4 linked regions of the Diceros bicornis minor genome follow. The protein of the gene in region 2 interacts with the protein of the main gene of each other region in a pairwise test. Links are inferred from orthologs where the notes say so. Each region holds a gene or a part of one and is shown on either strand. Other genes may lie near its edges.

Evidence for each region.
Region 1: the proteins of ABI2 (region 2) and KIAA1217 interact in binary tests that used the Homo sapiens proteins (3 or more experiments, as listed by UniProt). The link is inferred for Diceros bicornis minor from reciprocal best matches to the Homo sapiens genes ABI2 and KIAA1217.
Region 3: the proteins of ABI2 (region 2) and KIFC3 interact in binary tests that used the Homo sapiens proteins (3 or more experiments, as listed by UniProt). The link is inferred for Diceros bicornis minor from reciprocal best matches to the Homo sapiens genes ABI2 and KIFC3.
Region 4: the proteins of ABI2 (region 2) and DTNB interact in binary tests that used the Homo sapiens proteins (3 or more experiments, as listed by UniProt). The link is inferred for Diceros bicornis minor from reciprocal best matches to the Homo sapiens genes ABI2 and DTNB.

What each region holds. Positions count from the first base shown.
Region 1 is NC_080775.1:23,534,646-23,542,502, forward strand, and holds the start of KIAA1217 (sickle tail protein homolog), read left to right. Parts: upstream 1-4,843; 5' UTR 4,844-5,113; coding exon 5,114-5,183; intron 5,184-7,857. UniProt on the Homo sapiens protein: Required for normal development of intervertebral disks.
Region 2 is NC_080749.1:80,842,671-80,850,326, forward strand, and holds the start of ABI2 (abl interactor 2), read left to right. Parts: upstream 1-4,647; 5' UTR 4,648-4,824; coding exon 4,825-4,941; intron 4,942-7,656. UniProt on the Homo sapiens protein: Regulator of actin cytoskeleton dynamics underlying cell motility and adhesion. Functions as a component of the WAVE complex, which activates actin nucleating machinery Arp2/3 to drive lamellipodia formation.
Region 3 is NC_080771.1:11,205,504-11,212,797, reverse strand, and holds the start of KIFC3 (kinesin-like protein KIFC3), read left to right. Parts: upstream 1-4,280; 5' UTR 4,281-4,771; coding exon 4,772-4,789; intron 4,790-5,086; exon of another isoform or gene 5,087-5,154; intron 5,155-7,294. UniProt on the Homo sapiens protein: Minus-end microtubule-dependent motor protein. Involved in apically targeted transport. Required for zonula adherens maintenance.
Region 4 is NC_080751.1:56,957,304-56,964,227, forward strand, and holds the start of DTNB (dystrobrevin beta), read left to right. Parts: upstream 1-3,908; 5' UTR 3,909-4,057; intron 4,058-6,924.

The sequences.
Region 1 (7,857 bases), on a different chromosome or scaffold from region 2:
ATACTCTCTATTGAAAGGATTCATAATAGCACTGCTGGGTAAACTGAGGAAGCAAATGGGCGCTTGTATCTGTGGAAGTTCTCACATTCTCCTGGATCCCACCCTGGCCTTTAGGAACTCTGCAGAACACGTCAGGGTTTAGCTCACTCTGGCATAAAAGGGGTGAGCATCTGCAAGTTGCAGTTTTCACTTAGAAGTTGCCACCTGGAATCCAGACTCGTTCTGCGGTGACTGGGAAGCAGAGCCGAGCATGGCTTCTCCACGATGTGCTGCACACATGGCAGCTCCAGCTCCAGGGTTTTGCAGACATGGTCTTTGCTCTCCAGCATCTTCCAACTTGAAAGAGATAAAAGAAACCCCGATAAAAGTCAACATCAATGGAGTCTCTTGAAATGAAAGCAAATATGCTTAAAGTATTAACACATTGGATGGAAGTGTAGTTTATATTTATAACCACATGAGGAATTTGTATGGGGGAGGGGAGGAAAGTTCCAAGACTTGGGAGCAGAAAGACTTCAGTGGAGGGGGCTCTTGGCCACCTCACTTCTTGGCTGGTAGGATCTCTTGGAGCAGCTGGGATTTTAAGGACTGCAGGTAAGATCAGGAAGATTGGTTACCCTCTGTAGAGAATGCTGGAGATGTAAATGGTGACCTGGTCACATATATGTAAATGGTTCCTTTCTGGTCACACAGAAAGGAAAATTCTGTTTTGAAGGATGAATCATACAGAATATCATATTGTGGAGTTTGTGTTTCCGATGTGAAATTGTTGGTGGGGCTTGTAATGCTGCTCTAATGAGGTTCCCACCTTTAATTCATGCTTAAATTTCTCTTACGAGGTCTGTCGGGAAACTCCAATAGCATTATTTTGCATTTGGAAACCTGAGGTGCACGTGAGTTTATCTTGGACTACACAGAGGTGACCATCTGTGCTGGTTTGCCAGGAACAGTCATCGTTTCTGCATCTCGTGTAATTATTAATAGTGTCCCCTTTCTCTATCACAAATGCTCTGGTTTATATTTAAGTATAAGTCCACACTAGCCAGCTGACACATTGCTGGCAAAACAAGGATTGAAGATCCCACATTTCATTCACCAGATCATCCATTGAAGTACATGTTTTCCCAGCTGTCAAACGTCCTTTATTCCTTTTGTGTGTGTGTGTGTGTGTGTGTGTGTTTGTGTGTGTGTGTGTGTGTGTGAGGAAGATCAGCCCTGAGCTAACATCCATGCTAATCCTCCTCTTTTTGCTGAGGAAGACCGACTCTGAGCTAACATCTATTGCCAGTCCTCCCCCTTTTTTTCCCCCAAAGCCCCAGTAGATAGTTGTATGTCATAGTTGCACATCCTTCTAGTTGCTGTATGTGGGACGCGGCCTCAGCATGGCCGGAGAAGCGGTGCGTCGGTGCGCGCCCGGATCCAAAGCCTGGCCGCCAGTAGCGGAGCGAGAGCACTTAACTGTTAAGCCACGGAGCCAGCCCAAAAGTCCTTTATTTCTGAGTTACAGAGTGACACACAGCAGCGTGTCCCTTAGAAAAGGCGATGTGTAACACATCAAACATGAGGTCTCCGGTAGAAACATTTTTCTGTTGTTTTTCATTTTATTCTGTTTTGTTTTATTTTCACAGTTGCCAATGCCTTTGAAAATTACATTTTATGACTTCAGCAAGCAGTAATTATTTCTTTTGTGTCCTGATGTCAAGTCATTTTAAGCTCTCTTGTTCCTAATAGGATTTAAAGCAAAAAAAGAAAATTGAAACATATATCAGGGCCATACCACTTATTGCTTGCTTCTGGAAATGATTTCTCTTTAAAAACTTACATAAAGGAAGTTGACATGCTCTCCACAGCCCTGTAATTAAATAGGCCTGCTGAGAAGTCGTACGCAATAGTTTATGATTCTCCAGATTAATGGCCATCGTGGCGGACGCCCATTTAAGTTGCGTTATCAAAACTAATAACGACCCAGTTCTGTAACAGGTTAGCGCTGACTGCAAAAATCAGCTCTCTTTTATCTCATCACTTGTCTTTCCTTTTAAATGACGCTTTTTTGTGTGTTAGCTCGTTTTGAGTCATGAATTGCCAACATATGGAGCCATTAACCAAGGAATAGTCTTGCACCTTCCCTGGTTAACAGAAATGGAGTTGAAAGTTTAGCCCCCTGGTATCATTATTGTAGCTCTCTGTATGACTGGAGGAAAATTACATTTCGAATTCTTCCCGCTTCCCTGATGCCTTTCACAGCAAATTTCAAAGTATGGCAGTAGGCAGATTGGTTTGTAATAGCAATTTTTAAACCCCCAAATTAAATTAAACCAAAAACCATGGTGTACTTCTAGTTCAAATAGCGTTTCTTCCAGAAAGAACATCTCCACAGTAACAGCAATGACAATGATAGTATTTTTCATGAAGATCTGAGTTACTGAGTTTATGCAGATTGCAGAATACAGTGACCGTTTTCCAGAGACCCCTCTCAGAGAAACTGACAATCAGCAAAAAGTTCTTAGTAAGATCTGTGTGCTCTGGGGAGAGATGTTGAGTCAGCGCAAGGGCATTAACACAGTGCCTTCTCAAATTGTTTTCCGTTCCCCTTCTCAAGGAGAAGGAACAAAGGGCCAGTAACTAGTCCAATAGAAACTTTTCCCCATAGAATGGTCAGAAAGTTTAACTATTCAAGAGAACATGTTTTATTACCGTAAATGTATGTCGAGATTTCATGATCCTTAATGATTTATGTTAATTTTCTTCACTGGTGATGCCTTTTTCTTTTGTGCATTCCACAAAGAGTTTTGCCTGGAGGAATATCCACAGAGGAGGCTGCAGTCTGCTTTGCCCATGGGGGAGGAGAGGGTCCGAGCAGCGTGAACACATAGTCGGGTGGAGGGGGTTCCTTGGGCTGCCTGGAAACTAACCAGAGTTCGAAACTGGTGGGAGAGCTGCCCCTATTTTGCCTATCTGGGGATCAACAGGGCCCTGAAGAGCTGCTCTCACGCTTTCCAAACAGCCCCAGGAAGCGTAATCTGCATCTAAAAATGGATCTTTTCTGCCTGGATTGAGCTAGTGAGGAAGGCCCTGGGCAGGGCAGGGTGCTATTGGTTGGTGCCCTTGTAGGTGTGCTGTGGGCTCCTTCATCCTGGGGAGTTTGCCTCTGTACTGTGTCAAGTGACAGGTAAGAGCTGCTAGGAGCAGCTCGTCACACACCAAAGCGAGTCAGGTGAGTGCCAGAGTCCCAGGCCCCAGGGACATCTGGTTTAGGCTGACGCTCTGGTGCTGTAATGTTGTGCTTGCCTTGTGAGCTCCCTCTTTCTCTCTCTCTCTCTCTCCTGCACCACTTCTGCCCACTACCACCACCATCCTTTTAGGCATTAGTAATTTGAAGACAAATAGTCAAGAGCTGTACAAGGACCAGGATAATCTGGACCTGGGGGCCTGAACACAGATTCCGTCCTTCACGAACATTTGGTACCTGAGGAAATAGTAAGGTTAAGACAAGATTCATTTGGCATTTCCCTGCAGGCCACCAGTACAGAAACTGTGTACAATTAGTTCCTCCTTAAAGCAAGATTACCAAATAATTCTGTTGCCAAGTCGTGGAGACCTTGAGTTATCCGCCCTCTCAACCCAACTGCCTGTATTCATGTTGCCAGGTATGGGCTTTAACTTTCTGGGAGATTCCACATCTTTTTGGATTTCAAGAAAAATCCTGTTAGGAGCTGAGGAGTCTCTTCTTCCCTTCCCCACAAGAAGCTCACTCCCTGGCATGTCTACTTTCCCTTTGGTTTATATCCTTTGTCCTAAATGGCCAATATGTCTCCCACGCTGCCAGAACACACATGTGACCCAAGGTCAGAATCTGGAGGATAGGCCAGGCATTGTTCTGCGCACATTCTTCATCTAAATTAATCTAAACTTTGGCCTGAATGGCTGGTAAACTGGGTCAAGGTATGGTCAGCAGGCAAATCATTGTCCTTTTTTTCTCCTCAAATGATGGGTCCACTACAGATTAAAATATCACACTCTTCCTACCAGTGATTGTGTTACTTTCAGATAGCTGAAATAGCAGAGCTCAGATTATTTTCCCATCCTTTTTTTGTGGCTCCTTTTCTCACTTTCTGGGAAATTTGCCAGTTTTTCAAGGACTGGGTGAAGAACAAAATAAATATCTGTAGGTAGTTTAAAAGGAGAATAAGTAGGTTGCATGTAACTCTCCCCATCCGAAGCAAACCATTTTAACTGCTTTTCAGAGATTTTAAAGTAATTAACTTGAGAGATTCACAAGGTCGATTTTACTAAGTTTACTTTTCAGATCTATGATCAAGTTGTGTGTGTGTGTGTGTGTGTGTGTGTGTGTGTGTGTGTGTGTGTGTGTTGGGGAAAGGGGAGGAGTTGAAGTGTAGGCAAATGAGTACAAACTCTTTTTAAAGTCCAGCTTAAGTGATCGAAATAGTGTCAAAAGTAAACAGCCTCTTTGTGTCTGTTAATCAGGCTCCAAACAGTGTCAGAAAGTGTTTGCTTAACATTCAGCTTATACTCTTTCTAAATTTTTTTAAGGGGTTTCACTGAAATTTGGGACGTTCGGCAGTTGTTTATTACTATGGATATCAGCCTACTGGGGAGGGTCGTTCTGTGTCTGAGATTAGAGTCCAGAGAACGGGCTTCCAGCAAAGGTTCATGCGGGTGACCTTGTGTGACATGTCTTCCTCGCCTGGCCGCGGAGTCCCGGCGGGTCGCGGCGGTGGCGGCAGGCAGCCTGGGTCCGGGGAGGGAAGCCCATCACCTGTTGGGGCCTCCGGGAGCGCGCGGCGCGGGGCCGGCCGGGCAGGGGCGGCGGCGGGGGCTCGGAGCACAGCCCCCACTCCTCCCAGACCAGTCCGGCGGGCGGACGCGCGGACGCGGGGCGCAGCACAGAGGGCCGGGGAGGCCCGGCGCTGGAATGCGATTTTCTCGGGCGAGCGAAACTTTGCACCGGAGTGGAGAATAGTTTGGGGTGGGGTTTCGCACCGTCCCCTCCTCCCCACCCTCTGGGCCCCCTTCCAGGCGCTTTCTGGGAGCTTTCAGAACTGCGCTCTGGAGTTTAAAGAGCAGCCAGGAGCTTGTGCCGTAGGCAGGGACAATGGAAGAAAATGAAAGCCAGAAATGTGAGCCGTGCCTCCCTTACTCAGCAGACAGCAGACAGATGCAGGGTAAGTAACAGACTCATTCAAAGATGGAGTTACAGTTCCGCGTGTCCCTCGCCGCGGGCTGCTTTTTATAGCTGGAGACAGGGCGCCTGGCGAAGAAAAAGCATGATTTCTTGGGGTGGTGTGTTTTCAAAACTGAGTGGAGAGCTGCGATTTCTCGGGTTTGGCCTTATCTCTGGCAGGATTTTCTTAAGCAGCAAAAGAAGTGGCGTGGTGATGTCACATTTGTCGCACAGTAAGCAGTCAGGATGTGCGGTATCTCTAGGCAATGCCAAATATATCGCAAAAAGCGGCTTTTCATACTCATTGCTCCCGTCGTGGGAGCAAAGAGCTGCTTCTGTGAAGCTCTGTTTGGGACGGCAGCATTTCCATTCATTGGTTGGGGGATTCCATGAGGCAAATGCATATTGGATGCAAGTTTTGTGGCATTTTAGAGTTAAATCACAGAGCTAAGAGGTGTTTGATTTTACAGATCAGAACAGCGGGGGCGCATTTGTACATCTGGACGATAGATGGAACTCTGTGAATCTTCTGTGTGCTTTAATTCAAAAGTTGGGAGTTGTGAGACAATTTTGGTAAATTTTCTCCAGGCGGTTTCCCTTTAATTGTATTTACAATAGACTTGTCTTTTCCGTAGGGAATTTCCAGAAGCTTATGTTGTTCCAAAGAGATTTCGCAGTGGGGTTGGGTGGAGAAAGGACTTCTCTGCTCTCCAGTGTCTGAAGCCTGTGGTGCCCGAATTTCTCCCATAGTATCATATAGGCAGCATGTTCATAAACCGCACAATCCAGAACCACCCCCGCCCACCCTACCGCAGGTTCATCCAGGGGCCAGTTAGTAACTAGAAGACATGCTTGTGGGGCTGCAGTGCGCTGCGTGGGAGTAGGGATTATGCACAGGGGAAAAGGTGTGTGTTTTGTAAAAAGGCAAAAGGGAAGTAACAAATGACTCATCCCCACTGAAAATGTAAAACTAAGCCAGACAGAAGAAAATGCAATTACAAGAGAGAGAAAGCCCCAGGGAAATGCAGGCAACTTGAAGCTTAGTAAACCCTGGAGAATCCCTGAGTCTTCTAGTCATTGGTCTGGGTATCTGTGCTTCCAAAGCAGAGCCCTCTCCTGGAGGGGCCTGGTCAGTGGGGTCCAGCAGGAGATAAGCTCCCCCCTCCTCCCTCCCCAGTTTGATAGGACTGAATCCTACAGCAGGAGTTCAACCTCTGGGCCTCTGCTGAAAGAAATGACTCAGAACATCAGGGGCTATTAGAATGGGACCAACTTAAGAAATAACTTTCAAACAACCACAGCAATTCAAAGACGCTTCAGAGGCTGGAGATGGTCAGACTGAGGGAGTGTGATCACTTTATTCATGTCTTCATTCATTCAATGAATATTGACCATCTGTTATGTGGTAGTCACTCTTTTAGCTACTGGAAATCCAGCAGTGGACAAAGTTGACTAAAAATACTTGCCTTCATTGAACTTACATTCTAAGGGCCAAGTTTGAGGGGGAGGGCGTGGTAGAGATAGACAGTGAACAAATAAGTAAACTATATAGCCTGTTAGATGTCAGGGTCGCCAGATTTAGCAAATAGAAATATAGGATGCCCAGTTAAATTGGAATTTCAGATAAACAACAAATAATTTTTAGGATAAGTATATCCCATGCCATATTTGGGACATACTTATGCTAAAAAAATTGTTATTTATCTGAAATTCAAATTTAACTGGGCATCTTGTATTTTATCTAGCAGCCCTATTAGATAGAAATCAGGCTGTGGGGAAAAATAAGGCCTGGAAATTGAATAGGGAGCGCACGGGGTGAAACTATAGATAGGATTAACAGGGAGAGCCTCACCCAATACCCAGAAGAAGTGAGGGAGGGAATAGCAAGGATGTGTTCAAAGAACAGCAAAAATATGGGAGACAGATGGGAAGAAAAGAGGTTAAGAGGTAATCCCAGGCCAGGTCATGTATGGCCTGTGACACTATGGTAAGGACTTGAGCTTTTATTTCAAGGAAGGTAGGGAGCTGCTGGCAGGTCTGAGTTGTCCCATAAAGGGTAATACTTCCACAGTAAAACAGGCAAGAAATGGCACAGCTTGGCCCGGGGGGCAGTGGAGCAGGGGGTGATAAGATGTCAGATGCTAGATGGACGTTGAAGGTAAAGCCAAAAGAATTGCCGAGGGATTGGATAGGGGATATAAGAGAAACAGAGGAGGCAAAGATGACTTCAGAAATTTTGGTCTATGTAGCCGGAAGAGTGGAGTTGCCATTTATGTACTTAAATGGGAAGGCATTTGAGAGGAGTAGATAAGAGGGTATTTATGGTTTGGAAGTGGGTGGAGTGCAGAAAATCTTTTGGATGTGTTAGTATTGGGAGGTTTATCAGGCATCGACATGGAGATGTTGATTGTGATCTGGATATTTGTGACTGGAATTGTGGAGAGAGGACTGGGGCGTCCGATGAGAGATGGGCTAGGATTGGGTCTATGTGCCAAAAGAAAGATCCAAGAGATGCGCCCTGGGCCACTCCAGCATTTAGATGTCAGGGAGCTTGGAAGGGGTGGCTGGAGAGATAGTGAAAGAGGGATACGAACCCAGGTTAGATTTTAAGATTCCGTTGAGTTCTGGGTGGAAATGATGCTGTAAAGGAGTGTGGCTTCATTTCCAGTTCTTTG
Region 2 (7,656 bases):
GACTTTCAATAAAAAAGAAAAAAATGTATGAGAATTGTGGGCTATATAGCTATTGACTTTCTGAAAATGAGGGTTTTGTTTTTTTTTTACAAACTAATTTTGATGGATGTGTATTCTTTCCAGGAATTTTTAACTTATTTCTTAAAATGTACGTTCATACAGCTGTAAAGCACAGAATGCTCTACTGTACAGTAAGCCTTTTTTTCCCCAAATAGTTTGGTACATTTTTAACCATTATATCCATATCCCTAAAATTGAGACCCAAGTTTATATCACTAAAACTGAAACCAACATTTCAGATGATAACACTTGCCTAAAAATGTAAAGCTTAGATTCCAGCCATTTATCTTTTGATCACATACAGAAAATTCGTTTCAAAAATACATTCAAATTATATGCACTTGGTATGAAAATTTCCTGATAGTCTTAAATCTGATTAAAACCCAGAAATGTACATAAATACTATGAAAATGTTTTGTTCTTAGTGCTGTCAAGTGGATTCGGACTCCTAGTGACCCCGTGGACAGCAGTGCAGAGCCCTGCCCAGTCTTTCTGCGCCATCCTCTCACCTTCCAGCGCTGTACTAGCCAGTGCTCTACTGCTATTCACAGGGTTTTCATGGCCAATTTTTTCAGAAGTAGGTGGCCAGGTCCTTCATCCTAGTCTGTCTTAGTCTGGAAGCTCCACTGAAACCTCTCCACTCTGGGTGACCCTGCTGGGATCTGAAATACCAATGGTGTAGCTTTCAGCATCACAGCAACATGCAGCTGCCACGGCCTGACAACCGACAGATGGGTGATATGGTTTCCCCACCTGGAAACGAACCCGGGCCTCAGCAAGCTCTGAATCTTAACCACTAGACCACCAGGGCTGGCTGTGAAAATATTAATCACTGATAATTATTTTTCTTGTTTGGGGCGAGAAGGAGAACTCAGTTAACCATGTCATTGTTTGAATAAAAACTCTGCTTGCATTTCTCCTGTAAAATCTCTAACAGAAATTTAATTGCACAAAAAGGAATTCTTTTAAAATTCATTGAAATATATGTATTCATCTATATTCATTCATTGAAATATATATTGTTGGGCCAGCCCCGTGGCTTAATGGTTAAGTGCATGCGCTCCACTACTGGCGGCCCAGGGTTCGGAACCCTGGGTGCGCACCGACGCACTGCTTCTCCGGCCACGCTGAGGCCGCGTCCCACATACAGAAACTACAGGATGTGCAACTATGACATAAAACTGTGTGCTGGGGCTTTGGGGAGAAACAGGGAAAAAAAAAAAGGAGGAGGATTGGCAATAGATGTTAGCTCAGGGCCGGTCTTCCTCAGCAAAAAGAGGAGGGTTGGCATAGATGTTAGCTCAGGGCTGATCTTCCTCACCAAAAAAAAAAAAAAAAAGAAATATATATTGTAATATACAATATATATACATATATACCCAATTTGGTATTGCCTGATAAAGCAATAGCAGCCAGAAAACTAGTTTTAAAATTCTCAAGGTGAAAAACGAAAACAGTCCAAAATATCTTCATTAAGAAGAAAGACATTCTTATTTAATAGTTTCCAAGCATTTAATGTAAAACCAGGAAAAAGAATAAATTTGTATGGATATGAAACAGCTGGAATCATTATTTAGGTGCCATAGATGCTATTTGTTCTCTAATAAATTTAAAAATGAATGAGAAAATACAGTAATATTAAATACTAATTGACACTGTTAATAAGGTTGATACTAAAGCTGGTAGGTTGATGTCATTTAAAAGAGAGACTGAAAATTTTGGGACAAAGAGTTAGTGATGAAAACAATGATTATAGTCAATTAGCATGTCAATGGTGTGCAGGAAAAATCTGAGGAGAATGTCTGGAGTGAATGGGTATGTCTTCTAGATGTTGTAAGAAGAGCTATGTAAACAGTTCAGTTGAGCAACGTTTATTTCTTTTGAGCCCATACTATCAGGCATTGTATTATGTTCCTTACCTTAATTTCCTCATTTAAGGATCGAGTTACTAGGATGATATACATCAGGGGAATTCCACAGACATAGTGCATCTTTATTTCAGCAGAAGAATTTGACACTTTCTCACGAGTCGTGTCACTATGATGATGGAATATTGGATAAGGGTGAGTTCTTTAAGGTACATTCACAGGTGGCCAAATTTAAGGTATATTGATAGTGGCTCTGAATGACTGAGGCGTTTAGTGCAAGCCATCAGGCTGTCTTCTTGGCCTTGATTTGTTCAGCATTCTTATTAAAGGCTATGGTGAACCCCACAGTCTTGCTTATCACATCTGTAGATGATGTGAAGCAAGATTATTTATTTTCAAGGATTCAAATTTGAGACAAAGCCAAGGTATAACATATTGGAAATAAATATAAACAACTGCAATTAGATTTAAAAAAAAAATCAACTGTACTTGGCATGACTGGGTTAATATGTAAAAAATCTAAGAGTTTTTAATGCTTACTTTGAATCAAGCTGATGATAAAATTGCTAAAAAAAATGTTATCTTGGGCTGCATTAATAAAAGTATTCTCTGTGATTTTGGGAGATAGTCTCACTGGACTCAGAAAAATAATCCATGTTAATTTTAGAAAAATTAAGATGAACAAAAAACCCCCCTACAATCCCACCCCTCGGATAATACATATACACACGATATAGGTACTTTTATAGATCTTGTAGTTGTTTCCTTTTTGCTTAAATTATGTTGGTGGCAGCACAAGTGTATATCTATGTCCTTGGAGCCTTAGATTCTGCTTAGTGTTAAAAGCTCTCTTGGTGGAGATTCCCAGCTGCCAGAACTTGGAATCACAGACCATCAAAGCCAGAAGGGCCGTTTCAGCCGCATCACCGCGGAACTTGTTAGAAATATAAATTAGAAATATAAATTGGGCCAGACCAACTGAATCAGAAACTCTCGGGGTGGGGGTCTAGCAATCCCGTTTTAACAAGCCCTACAGGTGATTCCAGTCCACACTGAAGTTGCAGAACAACGGACCTGAGCTTAACCCTTTGATTTTTCAGATAAGGAAACTAAGATCCAAAGAGGTTGTCACAAATTAATTTGAGAAAGTACTAGAATCTTCAAGCAGTGATTCCTAAAATGAGGAATGATCCCTCAGAGAGATTTGTTTATTGGGTTAATGCTAAGCAGTATTTGAAAGAATGCTAGGTGGGATAAGTGTAATGGGGGAAGAGTCTGTCTACCATTTAACACACCTGGTGGGTTGCTTACAGTTCAACAGTAGCCTTTTGATCCATTGAAATTTAATCTGAGAGAAAAGTTTGCTTGGTCTAGTATGTTTTATTCATTTGATTTTCATCCGTGTCTTATTCCCTGAAGCAGGTTTATGTGCCGCTTAAGTAACTACCCCATTCCATCACTACTCTCTCATCAATCTCTAGAGTGGGATCCCGCGGCTTTCATTTTTAACAAGCTTCTCACACTTAAATCTGAGAACCACTAATACAGAAGATATTTAAAGTGGTTAAGAATAAAACTAGTTGGACTGGACCAACATCTTCAATATCCTTTAATTTGAGTGTCACAGTGAAAACTCAATTTGCTAATGTGTATATCATAGAGCCAATATAATAACATCAGAGATTGCTCCAGAAAATTAAAATGATTTTTTTTGAGAAACTATAATATCGTTTCCTCATCATCTGGAGGAAAAAAAAAAAAAAAAAAAGAGGTGAAAAAATCCCTGTAGGAAGGCCAAGAAATCACAAAAGCAAGAACAAGAGTTGAAATAATGGATCTTGTTCTCAACTACAAATGTAGTCAACCTTGCCTTTCCGCAGTACAAGTAAAGGTCACGGACTTGATAATATCTCAGCAGTTGTCAGGCATTTTAGTTTTTAAGATTACATTGTGTGGAGTAGTCAGATTTAGGACGAAAAGATACAGTATCCGGAGAGTAAGAACAGAATAATAACTCCGCAAGATCGAAATGATCTACCTTGAATTTCTGTAGCATTGAAGGTTTTTCCAGGTGCTTTCACATAAACTTTTATTTTATCCATGTAACAGCCCTGTGAAGAAGGAAATTAGTACCGGCAAAACCGTTTCCGAAACTTGAAACACTGAATGCACGAGGACAACAGACAGCGAAGTCGACGGCGGCAGGGGAGTGACGGGAAGGCTGCGGGCGAGGACGGGAACCGCGGCTGGGCAGGCACGCAAGGCTGAGGTCCAGGGACGGCGGACAGGAACAGAACAGAGGCTTCAGTGGGCACACACGGGAGGAGCCCTGGGATTATCTGCACCACAGAGGATGGAGGAGGTCAAGGATGAAGCGAAAAACGGAAAGCGAGGCGGCACTTCAAGCCGCATGGCAGCTCTGCGGCCCGAGATTATCCGTCAGGCCGCTGACCGCGGGGCGGCGGCAGCGGCGGGGGCGGCGCGCTGCGCCGGACTAACAAAGGCCGCCGGGGGCCTCGCGAGCCACGCAACCGCGGGGCCCGAAGGGTTAACGGCGCGCCTCCCGGCCCGCTCCCGCCGTCGCTAGGAGACGCCGGAAGTGGGGGGGGCGGGCGGCGCGGGTGGGAATCTTTTTCGGGCGCTCGGGGGCGGAGGGAGGGAGCGCGCGTGCGCGCGCCAGGCCGGCCGTCGCCGCGGTGACCGTCCTCGAGTCGGCCGGCTCGCGCCCCGCCCCCGGCCCCGCCGCCCCCTCCCCTGCCGCGCGCGGGGGCTGCTCCTCGCTCCTCCCGCGTTGCCGCCGCCGCCGCCGCCCCCCCCCTCCTCTCCCGGCCTTGGGTTTCCCTGGCGCCGCCGCCGCTCCCTCTGCGGTCCGCCTGAGGAGGAGGAGGATGTGAAGATGGCGGAGCTGCAGATGCTGCTGGAGGAGGAGATCCCCGGGGGCCGCCGGGCCCTCTTCGACAGTTACACGAACCTGGAGCGGGTGGCCGACTACTGCGAGAACAACTACATCCAGGTGCGACGCCGCCCGGCCGGTGCGCGGGCGCGGGGGCAGCGGGCGCGGGGACGCGGGGACGCGGGGACGCGGGCCGGGCCGGGGGCAGGCGCGGACGGGGGCTGTGGAGGGGCGCGGATCCGGCGCTCGGAGCGGCCTGGCCTCGGCGCCCGTTTAGCCGCCGGCATCGGTCCTCGGTCCTCGGTGCGGAGTGCTGTGTCCCGCCCCCGCTCGGCGGCGGGGCAGGCAGAGGGCGGCGTTCCGGGTGACAGAACCCTGCCCGGCCGACGGCGGCGGCGCGGGGCGGACGGCGCCCTCCCCCGAGCTCCGGAGGGCTTTTGAGGGGCTGTGTTGCTGCAAAGTAGCGTGCCTCCGTTTTCTGTTCGTGTGAAAGCCGCAAGAGACCGGTTTTTGCGTGTTTGTTTTTAGGATCTAACCGGGGATGCGGTAGAAGAGCAGTTGTCTCCTAGTGGAAGTTATTGCCATTTTTTTTCCCTGTGGAGAATGAGAAGCTGCATGATAATGGGCTGGGTCCCCCCCCATCCCGTTAGAATAGGTAATTTTCCTGTGGGAAAAAGAATAAAGAATTGTCACTATTTTTCAGAGAGAATTAGGAAATGATGCTCAGGGTTTAATTTTTCCCTTGATGGTTGGTTTGGCACAGGGACTTATAGTGGTAGGTGTGTGTGTGTGTGTGTGTGTGTGTGTGTGTGTGGAGGCGGGAGATGTTGGGTGAGACGAGATCCAGCTGCGCCTGGATGGAGCAAAAGATTGTGGCTTAAAAAAATTCTTCAAAAATTATTTGAAAGGGTAGGTTAAAACGCACAGTTTGCAAATTCAGCATCTTTTGTTTTCTTTATCGCTTATTGTGAATCATAGGTTCTACCTCCATTTTTTTCCCTTCCCATTTAAATTCTCTCGGGATAAAGGTGGCAGTGGAAGTACGTTAAGTTGTTTCTTCACTGTTGTCTTTTTTCCTGCTCCCACATCCGTCTTCCAGGCATCTTTGTTAACATCAGCTGTGTTGGGAAGCATTCTGAAGTCTCAGTGTAAGCTTAAAAAAAAAGGTGTTAAAATTTCTCGTAGATTTATAAATTTTGTAAGGACCACGTGGTTAATCAAAGATGGTATTGTGTGAAATTTTACTAGATTAGACATATACTGAACTCTGTATTCTCTTGTAGGGAATATTTGTATTGGAGAATGAACAAGACATAATACAGGGCTTTTCCCTCCAAAGAGGCTGTTGAAAGTATGGCCAGTAGGAAAAGAAAGAATGTGTCGTGTGTCAAAGATTATTGCAAAAAATGTAATTGTCCATATTTGTGGGGTGCTTTGCTGATATTGAGTGGGATAGGAAAGATTCAAAGGTTCAGTTGCTCAATTTTCCACTAAAGGTATTTGAAAGTCTTCTGTGGCCTGGCGCTGTGTCAAAAGTTGATGATACACACCTAGTGTGTACAGAATTTCATATTGTAGTTAGTAGGAGAGGCTGATCTGTGAGCACATGGATACCATATAGTGTGTCAGTTTATACTCTGTAATGGACTACAGGTGTGAAGAAAGCCTGGCGGAAGCTGTGCTGTCCCCAGGGAATTCAGTCTCTAGGAGAAGCAAATCTGTAGGACTGAAGTGGTCATTCCATTGCCTCCTGCAGCATAGTATGGGAAAGAAGTATAGGTCAGAAGACAGACTCAGGGTGGAAGAGTGGTTGGGTTGCAGTTATTACCAAAAGAGAAACAGATTTGTCTCTCTTTGGAAGAGAATTTTTATTGTAATTTGAAGGTATAGTTCTCTTAGATTATGATTGTACGTAAAGGTGAAAGTACATGGATTAATAATGCTGAGAGGTTAAAAGGATCAGCGTTTGTCATCTTTTTATATATTTAATACATTTCTTCCAGTTGAGAAGAACGTTACTGCCATCATTGTCTGTCATAGCAGTGGGACTCAAAATTTAGTGTGGTGGCATTTTAAAATTAAAAGTATAAATTTGATTAGTAGAAATAGATTCGGATTTAAAAATATTTCTTCAGGGCCGGCCCCGTGGGTTAGCGGTTAAGTGCTCGCGCTCTGCTGCTGGCGGCCCGGGTTCGGATCCCGGGCGCACACCGATGCAACGCTTCTCCGGCCATGTTGAGGCCGCGTCCCACATACAGCAACTGGAAGGATGTGCAGCTATGACATACAACTATCTACTGGGGCTTTGGGGGAAAAAATAAATAAAATTAAAAATATTTCTTCAGTATAGCATCTAAAATAGATTTTACACTTTCGCCTCTTAGATTATCACCTGTTTTAGGATCCAGTGGGTATATTATTGGTGTTTTCTTCCCAGATAACAGCTCTTACATGATTTGTTTGTGGTAAGTTGCTAAATAGAACATGGTGATAGTGGATTTGTGCTGACCCAGCTGCACATTTGACTGCCCCTCCTTGTGACCAAAGAACTGACCAGCAGGGGTTTTGATGCTGCCTGTGACCCTGCAATAGATGAAAGTTAATTGGTGGGATCAGTGATCAGATGGTCAGTTTAGCCTTATTATAGCATCATGCCCTAACCACTAGCTCAAGTTAGCTGACCCAACACTCATTTTACTTTGTGGAAATGTAATTTTTGCTTGTAAAGCAGAAAAAAGAAAAATCTGTGAATTCGTGTGTAACAAATGGTAAGGTCCTTTGCTCAGTATTCTTAAATAGCTGGTTTTATGCATAGGAATATCCAAAAATTAAGGT
Region 3 (7,294 bases), on a different chromosome or scaffold from region 2:
AACTGAGGCATGGAGGAAGTGACTGAACCAGGGTTCAAACCCAGGACCCCCTGACCTCTAATCCCAGTGTTAACCATTGCTCTATACTGTCTCCCCTTAATATAGTAATAACATCTGTTCAAGGTCAAGTACCAACAAGAAAGTCCGAGCCAGTGACAATAAGTTAAGGGTGGCGGGATTTAGGGACTTTTTCTTCTCTTGGTTTCTCCTACATTTATGCAGGAAAAAAAAAATTGAAGTTAAAAAAAAAAACAGCCACCTAGAATTTGCAGCAGATGGGGAAAATGAATGGGGAAGTTGAAAAGAAGCAGGATTGATGTTAATAATGCATGCCTTGGCTTAGAAGAAGGAGCTGGAATGATTTAGGAGCAAGGAGGGAAGCCAGGAGCTTTTGGGCCAAGGAGCCCAGGCGGGAGAGCTGACTCAGAGGGAGGCGGGGAGGGGGCGGGCCTTATCTTCCCCGGCCGTTCTTGCTAAATCTTTTTATTACCTGGTGCTTAAGTACACATCTCCTTAGTGTTTGCATTCCTCTCATTTTTTAGACTACAGGAAATGATAAAGAGGGGGAAAAAAACCCCTCTGTTTGCTTTCCACCCTGGAGAGCTCAGAGGGGGCTATCTCTGCCAAATTGTTCCTCAGGTCAGAAAGAGGTTTTAGGTTCCCCTCCCCTGAGAGCCAGGAAGTGCTGCTAGGTCCAACCTCCCTGGCAAATGCAGAAAGGGAGTCACTGTCCAGGGATTTGAAAGCAAGGTGGTTTTATTGGGGGGAGGGTGGCCTTGGTTCCCTGCAGAGACCTTTAGAAATGGGAGAACTGTTCCCCTGGTAATACAGCTTCTGGCAAGAAGGTGCCTTGGGCAGGGATGGGGAGGGCACAGAGGGAGCTGGAAAGGGAGAGAGGGGAGAAAGGTACCATTTGTTCAAATCTATTGAGCACCTAATGCCCGTAGGAGCCCAGTCTGTAGCAGACAAGAGCGACCAGAAGGTACGGTCCAGCCAAGGGTCATCCAGGACCCCACCCCTTCATGTCCACTTGGGAGCATGGCTTCCTGAGAGCTGGCAGGTGTGAGCCAAGAGGCAGCCCGCCTGGTACACCCAGAGGTCGGGTACAGCTGGAGAGGAGTCACACTCCTGTTTGCAGGGCCGGCTGCAGAGCCCTCCCCAGCCCCTCCTCGGGCTGCTCCCTGGCTCTTTCTGCGCTGTCCAGGACAGACTGTTTCAGGGGTATCTGAAGATGAGGATTCAAAACAGCAGCTAATTGAGTCAGGATTACTTAATATGTGACTCAACTCCAGAATGGTGTTCTCTAACTTCAAGTTTTCTAACTTCAACTGTTTATTACCCAGACTCGTGCAAGGATATACACTTGTCACAGCTGCAGGGTGCTCCTTACAGACGACACTGAAATAATTCCTTAAGGATTCTTCTCTGACTTCCGATAAGAACGATCATGAATTTATACGGGAAGAAGGTCTGCTCGGATATGCTTCATGCACCCTGTTCTTCCTGTCTGAATTATACGTGATCTATTTATTTATTCAATAAAAACTTACATGACGCCAGGCACTGCAGAGGCTTTCCCTGTGATCAAGTCAGGAAAGGGCCCTGCCCTCAAGGAGCTGATGGTGTAGACAGGAGGGGTGATTACAATCCAGTGTGGGGGGTGCTGCAGGGGGATGAGCAGTAGGGGGACTGTGGTCTCTGCGGGGGTCAAGGAAGGTGACCTCTAAGCTTGAAGGACTTGGAGGAGGAGTCGGCCAGGTAAAGGAGGGTGGAGGCAGGTGGGAGCGGGGCGAAGTGGAGGACTTCTGGGCAGGAAAAACAGCATTGCGGAGGCCTGGAGGCGAGCGAATCTCAAGTGAAATCGTTAAAACCGGAAAATCGTGTACATCTTACGTGTGCTTTACTCTGGGTTACTATGAGAATCAGATTCAACACAATCTGGCTTGTTATTCCTCTCTTTTGGTTTCCTTCTGGGTGGAACTCCTTTGGCCTGGACTGTGGCTATCTTTCTGATGGATGCCTGAGAGTTAAGGGGCTTCAGGCTCTTAGAACACAAAGATGGCGCTGCCACCCCCCGCCTGGGGGACCGAGTGGATGTGGATACGGATCTGCAGTGTTCCGGTCACTGCTTTGTCTGGCCCTCCCTGAGACAGCTCTGCCTCCCCCAGAAGGTGGGCAGGAGGTCAAGACCAAAGGCTGAACCCAGGAGTCCTCACTCATGGGTTCAGGACCCCAGCGTGGGATGGCCAGGTTTCTGGCAAATCCTCCACCTTCCCTGTGGCCAGGGGAGAGTTGGCAGCCTCCACATGAAACAGTCAGCGAAGTTCCTGGGATAAAAATGACCTTGAAGTCATTGGTATGCACTTCCTGGTGACATTGTGCATTCTTAAACTAAATTCCAACAGTCATGAAGCAATTTGTTTTCCCATTTCGTCAGAGTTTTGCTAGAATTCCGAAAATTCCTCCTCCTAACACCTCAATTTTCTTTTTTTTCTGTGAGGAGATCAGCCCTGTGCTAACATCTGCCAATCCTCCTCTTTTTTCGCTGAGGAAGATTGGCCCTGGGCTAACATCTGTGCCTATCTCCCTCCACTTTATATGGGACACCGCCACAGCATGGCTTGCCAAGCAGTGTGTCCGTGTGCGCCCGGGATCCAAACCGGCGAACCCCGGGCTGCCACAGCAGAGCGCGCGCACTTAACTGCTTGCGCCACCAGGCCAGCCCCTCAATTTTCTTTTTCTTTCACTGGCGCTTTGATCTTAATAAACTCTTGCAGCTGTATACATCTGAGAATACTGTATGTATGTGTATCTACGTACACACAGACACCTATTGGGTTCCAGTCTCAGCTTTATCACACACCAGATTTGTGAATGAACTTTCAGAGGCTCAGTTTCCTCTCCTGAAAAACTGGGGATATGATGGTGCCCCCCTCATAGGGCGTTCAGGGTTAAATGGGATCTTGTTTCTAAAGAGCTTAGCACAGCGGCTGGCACCGTATTAGCTTAGAATAAATGGTAGCTATTATGTGCATAGAAAAAAAAAAGACTGTACTGAAATGTTGGCAGCATTTATCTCTAGTGGGTGGGATGATGGTTACAATGAACATCTATTACTTTTGTAATCGGAGAAAAAGAACAATAAATGTTATTATTAATTTAAAAATCTGGCTCTGGCTTTGGCAGAAGGAGCCTGCAGTTAGTGTCAATGTACCAGCCAGCGAGTAAGACAGGGGTTACACCAGCACTGTGAAGGCAGACGCTACCCCCCCTCCAGTCAAAGACTATAATAAAGGGAGGTACTTGGTCAGGCCTCTAGAGGAGTTTCACCCTCATCCATCCTTACCGTTCCCTGGCCACTGCTGTCTGGAGAGGCAGGCAGGGGGACTCAGAGAAGGTAACTCTCAAATTATGGCCTTCTCTCCCATTGACGGGGTTACCCAGGGTTCTTAGCTGGAAATCTCTAACTCTCAATGGACCCATCCCAGGAGAGTGACATCTATCCTCTACTGGGCCTTCACTCAGCATCTCAGTTAGAAAATAAAACACACACTAGCTCACTTCCTGTAGGGGGATTGCGAGTGTCCAGGTCTGGCATCCAGAACAATCTGGGCCCAGGACCTTGGCTCTGTCTCCCGTTGAGATGCTTGACCGCCAGCCCAGCGCCTGGGCAGCTGCAGGGGAGAACCCTCCTGGAGCTGCACGCCCCCTCCAGTGCCCTCCTTGCTCCTCCTGGGCCATCCCCTGACAATCAGGAAGGGGCAGCGTGCCCACCCTCCTCAGATTGTCTGCGGAACCATCAGCCTGCACTGGGCTGGCCTCCAAGCTTCATTCTTTCTCCTCCTTCCACAGCCTGGAGGGGGAACATTGCTGCAGACTCTGGAGTAAATGCCACCTCTGTTTGGGAGACAAAGAACAGAGTAGCTCCTCTGGGTCAGCTGCCTCTCCTTGGCTGGCTGGCTCTCTGCCTCCCCGAGGCCTCTTCCAAGGCATCCTACAAGGAGGGCCTTCCGGGGCTACACCGGGAGCCGCTGCCTGCTCCCGGAGCTGCTGCACTCAGAATGTGTTTTCATGGGAGCTAAAAGGAATATTTTACCTTAAAAAAATCCCAAGTAGCTTGCCTGCTCTGGAAGATGTAAATTTGCCTGGTGGGGGAGGTGGGGGTTGTGGGTGGAGCTGTGGCTGGGGAGGCAGCACGGCCTATGTATTCCTACCAGAGCTAGTGGGAGCATGTGTGTGATAATGTGTAAAAGTACGTGTGTGTAACTAGAGTGTGTAAGAGCACGTGTGAAAGTGTGTACTAGGATTTAAAAGAATGTGTATACTGCAATGTGACCGAATGTGTCCTAGAGCATGTGAGGGAACATGTGTGTGAGCATGGGGAAGTATTTGTGTGAAAGTATGAGTGTGGTATGATGTGAGTGCATGTGTAAAGTGTATGAGAACATGTGAAAGTGTACACACGTATTATCTAGTGTCTAAGAGCATGTGTGAAAATGTTGCTAGAATGTGAAGAAAACACGTGTACTAGAATTTGTGAGTGTGTCAAGGATGGCAAGGGAGCACATGTGAGAAGTGTGTGTGAGTACTAACCAGAGTGTGAAAGTTTTGCACTAGCATCTGAGGATGTATTAGAGTGTAAGTGCAAAAGCATGTACATATGAACTGGTGTGGGATGCGTGTGAGAACTGTGAATGCGTTCGTGTGTACTAACTAGAGCCTGTGCGCGAACATATGTGTGCTAGTGTAAGGGCCATGAGGACGTACGCCGATGTGCGTGCACCAGCAGGTGAGCGCTCACGTGTGCACTAGCGCGGGCGGGACGCGGGGAGCGCGGAGCCCAGGGGGAAGGTCTGGGGGGACCAGGAAGGCGGCGGAGCGGGCGCCCCGCGCGGGAGCGAGCGTGAGTGCGCGCGGGAGCCTGTGCCGGAGCGCGCGCGCCGCCCCCCGCCGGGGTCGGAGCCGGTTGCCATGGGAACGCGCCGCGGCCCGAGTTAATCATTTCCTGTGGAAAGTGTGCGGGAGGGGCGGGAGCGGGGCGGGAGCGGGGCGGGCCGAGGAGGCGGCGGCGTGGAGCTGCCTCCCGCCGGCGGGCCGGGCCGGGCCGAGCCCCGGGCGCTGCGGCGACGCCGGGATCCTGCCTCCGCCAGGCCGGTGAGTCGGGGGCCCGGGCGGGCTGGAGGTGGGCTGGGCGCTCGCGGTCCGCCCGGCCCGGCGTTCGGGCGCCGCGTGCGGGCCCGCCCTGCCCGCGGGACCCCCCTGCCCAGACCCTCTGCGGGGCGCGAGGAGGGCCCGGCCCAGAGGACCTTGCCCGGAGCAGGGCATGGGGGCGGCACGTCCCCTGGGATCGGAGCAGCCTCGGGACCCCCTTTGCAATTTCATTGGCCCAGGAGAGCCAGACCCTCCCGGGGAACCGCGTGCCAGTCAGCGCCGCCCCCTCCCCGGGCAGAGGTCGCCGCACCCGCAGGGCGCCCTCGAAGGCTGCAGTTTCGGGCCCTCCCACCACGTACGTCCCCTGGGCAGTTCGCTTTCCCCCTCGCAGGGCCGGGGGTGGGGCGGGCCAGTCCCGAGGTTGGGAAGGAGGGCCTGGGCCGCTGCCTTCGTGGGCACTGGGGAATTGAGCCATTGACATCGGCAGCCTGGGGGGTCCCAGCAGCGAGGGCGAGCCGGAATCCAGCTCCTTTAGCCCCCTGTTGTGAGTTAGAGCAGAACTCTGGCGCAGTGAAGGGCCTGGTTCTGGGAGATTTTAAAGAGGAAGCTGCATTTAAATTCTCAAGTAGCATTTGCAGTCTTCCCTACCCCGAACACATCTTTCTTAAGGTTGGAGGTGGTGGCCACCCCTGGACTTTCACCTTCCCTGGCTGTCCCTCCGCTTGAGCCTGGGTGAACACCTATCTTTGCCCCTGCGGCGCATTCCGCACGCCCTTGATAAAGTAGCCCTCTCCTTGGCCAGGGAGAGCCTGCATTTGCAAAGAATGCAGTCTCAGAGTGGGGCCCTGTATTTGCAGTGACCGGACTTCAGGGACATAGGGTGATGAGTTCTGCTGTCCTCACCGGCACCAGGGAGCAGAGGCTTTGAAATCTGGGTTGCCCTGGAAAACCCAGGATGTGTGACTGTGGGCAGGGGAGGTCCCAACCCTTGTCCAACCTCCCTGACCTTCTGCCGGCTCTCCCAGGGAGACAGCCCTCCCCAGCAGTGGTCTCTGGGCGGTTGTCAAGTCTGTCCCTCAGTCATTGCAATATCCCTGGTCTGGGGGGAGGGGGCTGCAGCTCTACCACCTGGGGCTAAACCCAGAGAGGCAGATGCCCCTCCCCCTCACCTGCCCCCCCTGCATTCACCCACCACTGGAGGGAGGTCACTGAAAAATAAAATTTTTGAGTTCTTTATACATGCCGTTATTGTTCTGAACACTTTATATATGCATTGTCTAATCTTTACCCCAACCCTATAAGGTGGATTTCTCCCCATTTTACAGATGGAGATAGTGAGGCACAGAGAGACCACATAATTCTCCTAGGGTCACACATCTAGTAAGTGGCACAGCCAGGTTCTGAGCCAGCTCCACTGTTATGCTCCCCACTCCGTCACCCCACCCCATGACCTAGGTGGGTAGAGTCTCCAGCCTTGGGCTTATTTGAGAGTCCTTGATACTTTTGACCTTCACAGCCCTCCCGCTGCTAAATTCAGCTGCCTTTTCCTCTTCAGGATCTTGCACACGCCCTTCCTCTTTCTTCCTGATATCTTCCTGGCTGCCTCCCCAACTTCCCTTCCTGAAAGCCACAGATTCTTGCCCCTCAGACTTAGCTGATCTCCTTAAAAGTCTTTCCCCTCAGCCGTGGAACCAACCTTCGATGCCCTACGCCGTCTCACCTCTCCAGCAGCTTGGTGGGCAGGTGGAGCCTGTCTCTCTCCCTCCTTGCCCGTCGGGCCGCTGGTCCTTGGGGTTGGTTGTGTGCCCAGCTCTGTGCCAAGCAGCCTGGAGAAGAGGGCATCTGGCTGCTGCCCCTTCGACTCTACACTGGTCCATCTCCAGTTCCTCTGTGGAGCCCGCCCACATATCTGGATTAGCCTCCGCCGGGTTCTTTGGACCACAGCCCCCTCCCAGTGAGACTGCCCCCAGGAGCCTCCTCCTCCAAGTCATCTTCCTCCCGCAAGGAAGGCAGAGACCACGACTCCGACTCCGAGCCGGGAGCCTGGCATTCTGCCAGGGCTCTGCTCTGCGAACATGGGTCACCAGATCTTCGGACCGCCCAGCCCTGCGCTCATAGTTCTTTTTCGTCTCGATGCTTCCAT
Region 4 (6,924 bases), on a different chromosome or scaffold from region 2:
CTTGCATCTTCTTTCCTTGAGTTTTTAGAAAATGTCAAAACACTGCATCACTATTGCCTTGCTTTGTATGTTGCTCCTGAGAAATCTGACGCCAAATATTTTGGTTACCGGACTCCATAACAAACTACCTACCCTGAAAAGGAATGGCTTAAAGTAAGAACCATTTTAATAATAACAATCTCTGGGGTCAGGAATTTGGGTAGGGTGTGGCTGGGCGATTCTTCTGTTCCACGTGGCTTCAGCTGGGGCCACTCAGTGGTATTCAGCTGATGGCTGGACTGATATAGAGCATTCATGATGACTTCACTCACATCAGCTAGGATCAGCTAGGCCTCTCTTCCTCTCCATGTAGTCTCAGAACCTCTCCACAGGGAGTTAGATATTATATACGGTGGCTCAGGGCTTCAAGAGCGAGCAAGAGCAAGTGTTCCTAAAGACGCAGGTGGACTCTTCAAGACTTCTTATGACCTAGGCTTGGAAGTCCCATAACATCACAAATTCTATTGGTCAAGCAATTCATTTAGGCCAGTCTGGATCAAAAGAAGTGATAAAGAATTTGCAGCCATCTTTAATGTACTACAACCTAATTTTCTTACCCTTTTAAACGATTTGAACTTTTTGCATTGAGGTCTTGAAGGTTATTATTATTATTTTTGTGTAATAGTTTTAAGATGTTAGCTTTCAGAATTGATCATTCTGTGGTCATTTCCTCAAGTACATGTGGGCCTTTTCATTATGTAGGTTTACATTTTCTTATTTCCAGAAAGTTTCTTGGATTATAGTTTCATTATACGTGGAACTTCAGCTACACATATGTTGGACATTCTTTGCTTGTATTCAATCAAATGACATTCCAAACAGAGAGAGAAACAGCATAAAGGTACGGAGCCAAGAGAAAGTAGGAACATTCTAGGGGTTTGGATGGGGTGTGTGTAGGAAGCGACAAGAGATGAAGTGAAAAGATAGGCAAGGTCTAGATAAATGGAAAGTCTTGTTTGCCATGCTGAGCAGTGACATCCTGGGCAGCAAAGCTTTGAAAGTTTTTCTGACGTGCAGGATGGAATACGGATTGGAAGGAACAAGACTACAAGAGGGAGACAAGATAAAAGGCTATTGCTTTGGTCTATGTGAGAGGGGCTAAGAGCGACAGATTCTAGAGTTATTTATGAGGAGAATCAACAGGATTGTTGAGTGTAGTGGGGATGGGGAGGAAAGAATCAAGGATGACCCCTGGGATTCTGGCAACCAAATGGACAGTAATGCTAAAGAGTTTCAGACACGTAGAGCTTGAGGTGTCTCTAGGACATCCAGGTGAGACATCTGGTAGGCTTTTGAGTATATGGAACTCAGATGGGTGGTCTGAGCTAGATAGCACATTTGGGATTGCTGATAAATGTGGCAGACGAAGACAGGGAGTGGATGAAACGGTTCAGGGAGAATGTGTGGGGTGAAATGAAAGTTGAGAACAGAACCCTGGAGACTGAGGAGTGGTCAGAGGGGTTAGGAGATGCATCATGTCGTGAAGGCCAATGGAGCTTCAGAAAGAGTAGAGTGCTCTGTGTTGTCACATGCGACCAAGAGCTCTAGTAACATGAGGACTCACAAATGGCCTGTGGCACTTAGGGTTAAGCAAGCCATTAATGACTGAGAGCAGTGCAGTGATGTGGTGGGGACAGATGCTACACAGTCATGAGTTGAGGAGTGAGAAGCTGCTCAAGAGGTAGAAGTGAGTAGGCTACTTTCAAGGCATTCGTAAAGGAAAATACAGACAGGGCATAGTAACTAGTGCAGAATCTAGAGTGACAGAGGGGTTTCTTCCTTTTTCTTTAGGACAGGAAAAGCTTGAACATGAATAGATGGTGAAGGCAAAGGACAATGGGTAAGAGGGGTTGGTAATTTTGGGAGTGAGAGGGGGAGAATGATTGAAATACGTTTGAAAGAAGTTTTCTGAAGATGCGAAAGGTGATGAAATCCAGAACCAAGATGGAGAGATGCTAATAGAAGTGTGCTTAGTTAGTTCCCAGAATGGTTTATGAGAATCTAGCTCACATATTGAAATTACCTTGGTTTCAATCAATAGGGCAAATATAGCAAGCAATATTTACATATTTATTTTACACTATTTTCACATCTTTTCTCCAAAGGACAAGATCAATGTTTTACCCTCTCAGTGCCTCCCACACAGTTGGTGCTCAATGAGTGGTAAAGGAATAAACAAGATGTCTCACCTATATTCTGAGTATCTTAACATATTCAGACATAGTCAAGACCCTGTATACCAGTGAAAAAGTCTTTTAAGGATGCAAAATAGTCACAAAATTCATGTGTGAAAGGTTATCTTTTTTTGAGGAACCTATTTAGTCTCACTTAAAGTTGGTTACCAGCATTTCCTTCACCATAGGAGTTATTTTTTAAAAATAGGAAGATGAGAGGAGAAGGAAGAGGATGTTCTAAAGGCAGGCAGGCAGGCAGCAGCAGGAGGTGGCACGGTCTGCCTTACCATAAGGTGCCAAAAAGCACTAAAAAATCAGGCACAAAGCATACTGGTTTGGGGTCACTTAGCTTAGGAACTTACATCCTTCATTCACAACCAATAGTTCTTAAAGGACACTGCTGGTTTGAGCCTTAAATAATGTTGAGAAAAATGATTCTTTGAGCCATTAAAAAAAAAAGTAGCTCTTCCTAATTTGGCATCATCTTCTATGTTTCACACAGTTTGGAAAGGATTCTATCCAGCCATTTGTGATAACACGGATGGACATTGAGGGTATTATGCTAAGTGAAATAAGTCAGAGGGACAAGGTCAAATACCATATGATCTCACTCATAAGTAGAAGATAAAAACAACAACAAACACACAGAGGCAGAGATTGGATTGGTGGTTACCAGAGGGGAGGAGGGGAGGGAGGAGGGTTAATGGGGTGATTAGGCACGTGTGTGGGGTGATGGATTGTAATTAGTATTTGGGTGGTGAACATGATGTAATCTATGCAAAAATAGAAATATAAGGATGTACACCTGAAATTTATACAATGTTATAAACAAATGTTACCGCAATAAAAAAATTAATTAAAAACTTAAAAAAATGGATAATATTAAAACAAAAAAAACTGATGCTGAGATGGTAAACCTTGGTCACCCTCTGTCCTTTGTCCAAGCTATTTTGATGCCTTCCCTTTTTTCTCCTAGGACTTTCTTTTTTTTCCTTGAGGCTGAATCCAAATGCCACCTCTTCCAAGAACCCCTCCGCATCGTCCAAGCGGAAGTAATCGCTTCCTCCTCTGCGCTCCCACAGCATCTTCCTGTGGCTTGGCTTTGCACGGGTCACCAGACCTGGTTGTTTACATGGCTGCCTTTCCACTAAGTTATGCGCTCCTCGAGACCAAGGACCGTGACCGTGACTGTGCAGCCACACAGCACCTGGTACACCGCGAGGCGCTCAGTCGGTGCTCAGTAAACACTTGCTGAGTTGAATTAATTTGGAAAAAACACTCAGGGCAGGATCTCGTGCTCGAGGCGAAGATGAATGATTCATATGGTTGGTTCTTTGCATTCTTTACCTTGTACTCACGTCGGGCCGAGCACCCAGCTGGCCGAGCAAATACCTGTGGATCTGAAACGCACCTCCGCCGCCCGCCGCCAGCGTGCAGGAAAACCCCCAGGAGGCACGTTTCCCGCGCCGACCCGGAACCCGCGGGCGAGACGGGGGGGCGGGTCCCGCCCGGCCGCAGGGGCGGGGCTCGAAGGGAACTCGGCCCGCTTGCCCGCCCCCTCCTCGGCGCGGCGGAAGCCCCGCCCCCAGCCGCGCGCTCGTGCTGGCGGCGCGCGCCCGCCCCCCGCCCCCCACCCTGCGCCCTCGCGCCCTCGCGCCCTCGCGCCCTCGCGCCGGGGGCGGGCTCGCTGCGCGTGCCGGGCGCCTGGGAACGTTCGCCGCGGGGGCGGCTCCGGGGCCTGAGCGGGCGCTGCCGTCGCCTCAGCTGTGGGGTCCGGGCCGGAATAGGCGGAGGAGGCTGCGGCCGCTGGAGACCTTCTGGACGCCCCCAGCTCCGGCCGGGAAGTGAGTAAGGTGGGGGGTCCGCGGTAGCGGCCGCGGGCTGCGGGAGAGGAGCGCGGTGCTGGAGCCTCGCGCCCGCGAGGAGCGGGAAGGAGCCAGCGCAGCGGCCGGACCTCGGGAGCCTGCGGGGGTGCGGGGCCGAGAGCGGCGGGAACGGCGCGCGGGGAGCCGGGGCCACTGCACCGCGCGCGCTGCGAGGGGAGACGGCGCCGCGCGCCCGGCCCTGGAGGGGCGAGCGGAGGGGATGGAGCGGAGTCCCGGGCCGGCGCCGCCGGGCTCCGAGCCCCGGGCCGGGGAGGGGTCTCTGGGGTCCCGGGCGAGCTGTGGCTGCGGCGCGCGGAGCCGAGGTGCGGGCACCGGGCTGATGCTGCTGGAGCCGGGCTCGCTGGGAGGAGGCTCTGCGTTAGGTGCTGAAGGAGGCAGGTCCTGGCAGAGGGCAGGTGAGGCAGGCAGGCCCTGGCAGAGGAAGGGAATTTATTTCAGATCACCCCAAAACACTCTTTCCCGAGGCGCCTAACAGTGAACCTGTGCACCGAGGTCACCCTTGGAAGGAAAGTGGCCTGAGAGGACAGAGGATGCAGCTGACGAATGCTTGCTGTTAAATTCCTGTGCCAGGCCTTCTTGCGATTAGGAAGACCTTCCAGCATTCTTAGTAAATTTATTGATTAGCTACGGTGGGTGGAGAATCGTGGTCAGCACTGGGGCCATAAAATAGTGTAGAACACGCCATAATTTGCTCTTTAGGTGCTGACGTTTTGGTTGTGAAGGTATGCGTATAAAATACAAAGCAGCATTGAATTTTGTCTCGTACCTTATTCACTTTAGGTCTCGTTCATCTTTTCCCGGTGCTGGGAAATTGGGGCCATAAATTGCTTGGTTTGGGGATAAAGCAAGAGAGTCAAAGAAGCTTGCGGGAGAAATTTGGGACAGTTTTGAAGGCTGTTCTGTGTAACATTTAAAGGGGGAGAAGGGAAAAAGAAATTTAGAAAGAGAAAAATTCCCTTCTCAGCTAGAATTAAGCTCCATGGCTATTCACAGCTAAATCCTCAGTGACAAGTACAGTGCCTGGCCCACAGCAGTCAGGCAATAAATATTTATTGCATGAATGAATGAATTAAGCAAGGTTTTGCTGTATTTTACAGAGCAAGGTTTACTCTGTATTTACAGAGTATTAATAACTCTGGTGTTAGAGATGGCTGATGGACTTCCCCTGTGCCTGAAGTTCTCTCTTTTTTATTTTTGGTGGTGTAAGGTAACCCACGTTCTTAGGTGCTGGCATTTAAAGCAATGGCTAAGGTAAGGGAGTCATGATTCCTTGTGGCCGCGCTGCTGCTTTCACATATTTATTGCCTGTGGGCTGTCAGGAGCTTACTCCTTGGGCCCTTCATCGCCAGTCATCCCATTCTGGCCCTTCTCTTTTCTGCCACTGAGGAAGAAGGGTAGTTTTGTCTAGAGAACTTTTTTTTTTCATTTTTATTGTGGTTCTTGGATCTTAGGTCTGTAGTAAGAGAATGTGTGTCTGCTCTTCTGTGAGGGCTGGAATCTACCACTTCTCTGCCTTGGTTGGATTTTGGGACTCGACAGCTCCAGGCTGCTGTTTCAGTGCCCTGGCTTGCACTGCCTGTTGGGTTACTTTGTCTGCCAAATTAAAACTTGACCTTTTATGAGTTCTGTGAGGATTTTTATCATACATCAGTGGAATTACCTTTGAAGGGGGTTATGTAGTCAGAGTAGTGCTGGCAAGGTTTTTGAGTGTCCCCTATGTGTGAGAGACAAAATTTCTACTGAGCTGGAAAATTAGAACCAATAGAATGCCAAGTTACCATTTATTTTATGTCTAATAGAAATCTCTCAAGGCCTTTGTTTCCTCATGTAAAAAATAAAGGTAATATTAATCCAAATTTGGCATTGTGTAGTAAGCCTTGGAGAACTAAGTTAATTTCTCATTAGTTTTAGGACTGTGTACTTCAGAGTGCAACCAGCAGGTGTCTACCAGTTCTTGTTTTGGGGTGCCTAGATCCTGTAATTTTGGGTGCCTTGTTCAAGATTCTCCCAAGGATATTGTTTTTTATTTATTTGTGTGTTGAATTTATCAACTTTATTGATGTATAGTTTACATATCATAAAATGTACAGATGTCCCGTGTACAGTTGGATGAGTTTTGAAAAATGTATGTACTGTGTAACCATTATCTCAATCAGGATGTAGAAATTTACATCACCCCAGAAAGTTCCCTCATGCTGGTTTTCAGTCCCCCCTCCCTCATTTTGTTTATTTCTAGTTAGACAAGCATCAGGGCTGTGGCGTCTAGTTGTGCAGGATGTGTACTGCCCAGCTGTAAGGGTGCCATTCACAGCAGAGTCCCTGCGAATGGCAGCTCCTGGGATTGTGTGGTGCATAGTCTGTGTGGCTGTGTACTGCAGCTCGGCACATGGCTCGTGAGTGCACACTTTCTTATAAAATACTCCAACAGTACAGACAGTATAAAAGCCCCCTCGGCCTACTCCCTTCTCCCCCCTGAAACTGTGGTTATCACTTTGTTGTGATATTCCCAGCCCTTTCTCTATGCGTTTTCATCTATATATAGGTAATACAGAAAACAGGGTTTCCTCCCACCCCCCACATTAATGACATGACACCATACACATTGTTCTACAACTTTTTTTGTAACAGAATGTCTGAGATCTTTCCATGGTGGAACATAGGGATCTATCTACCTGGTTCTTCTTGACTCCCACACAATCTCTTATGCAGTATGTACTGTACTGTAGTTTATTTAATCCTCTCCTCATTAATGGCCATTTAAGCTGTTTGCCATTCCAGACATTGCTGCAGTGAATGAAAAGTAGATTTGCTGGGTCAAAGGGGTG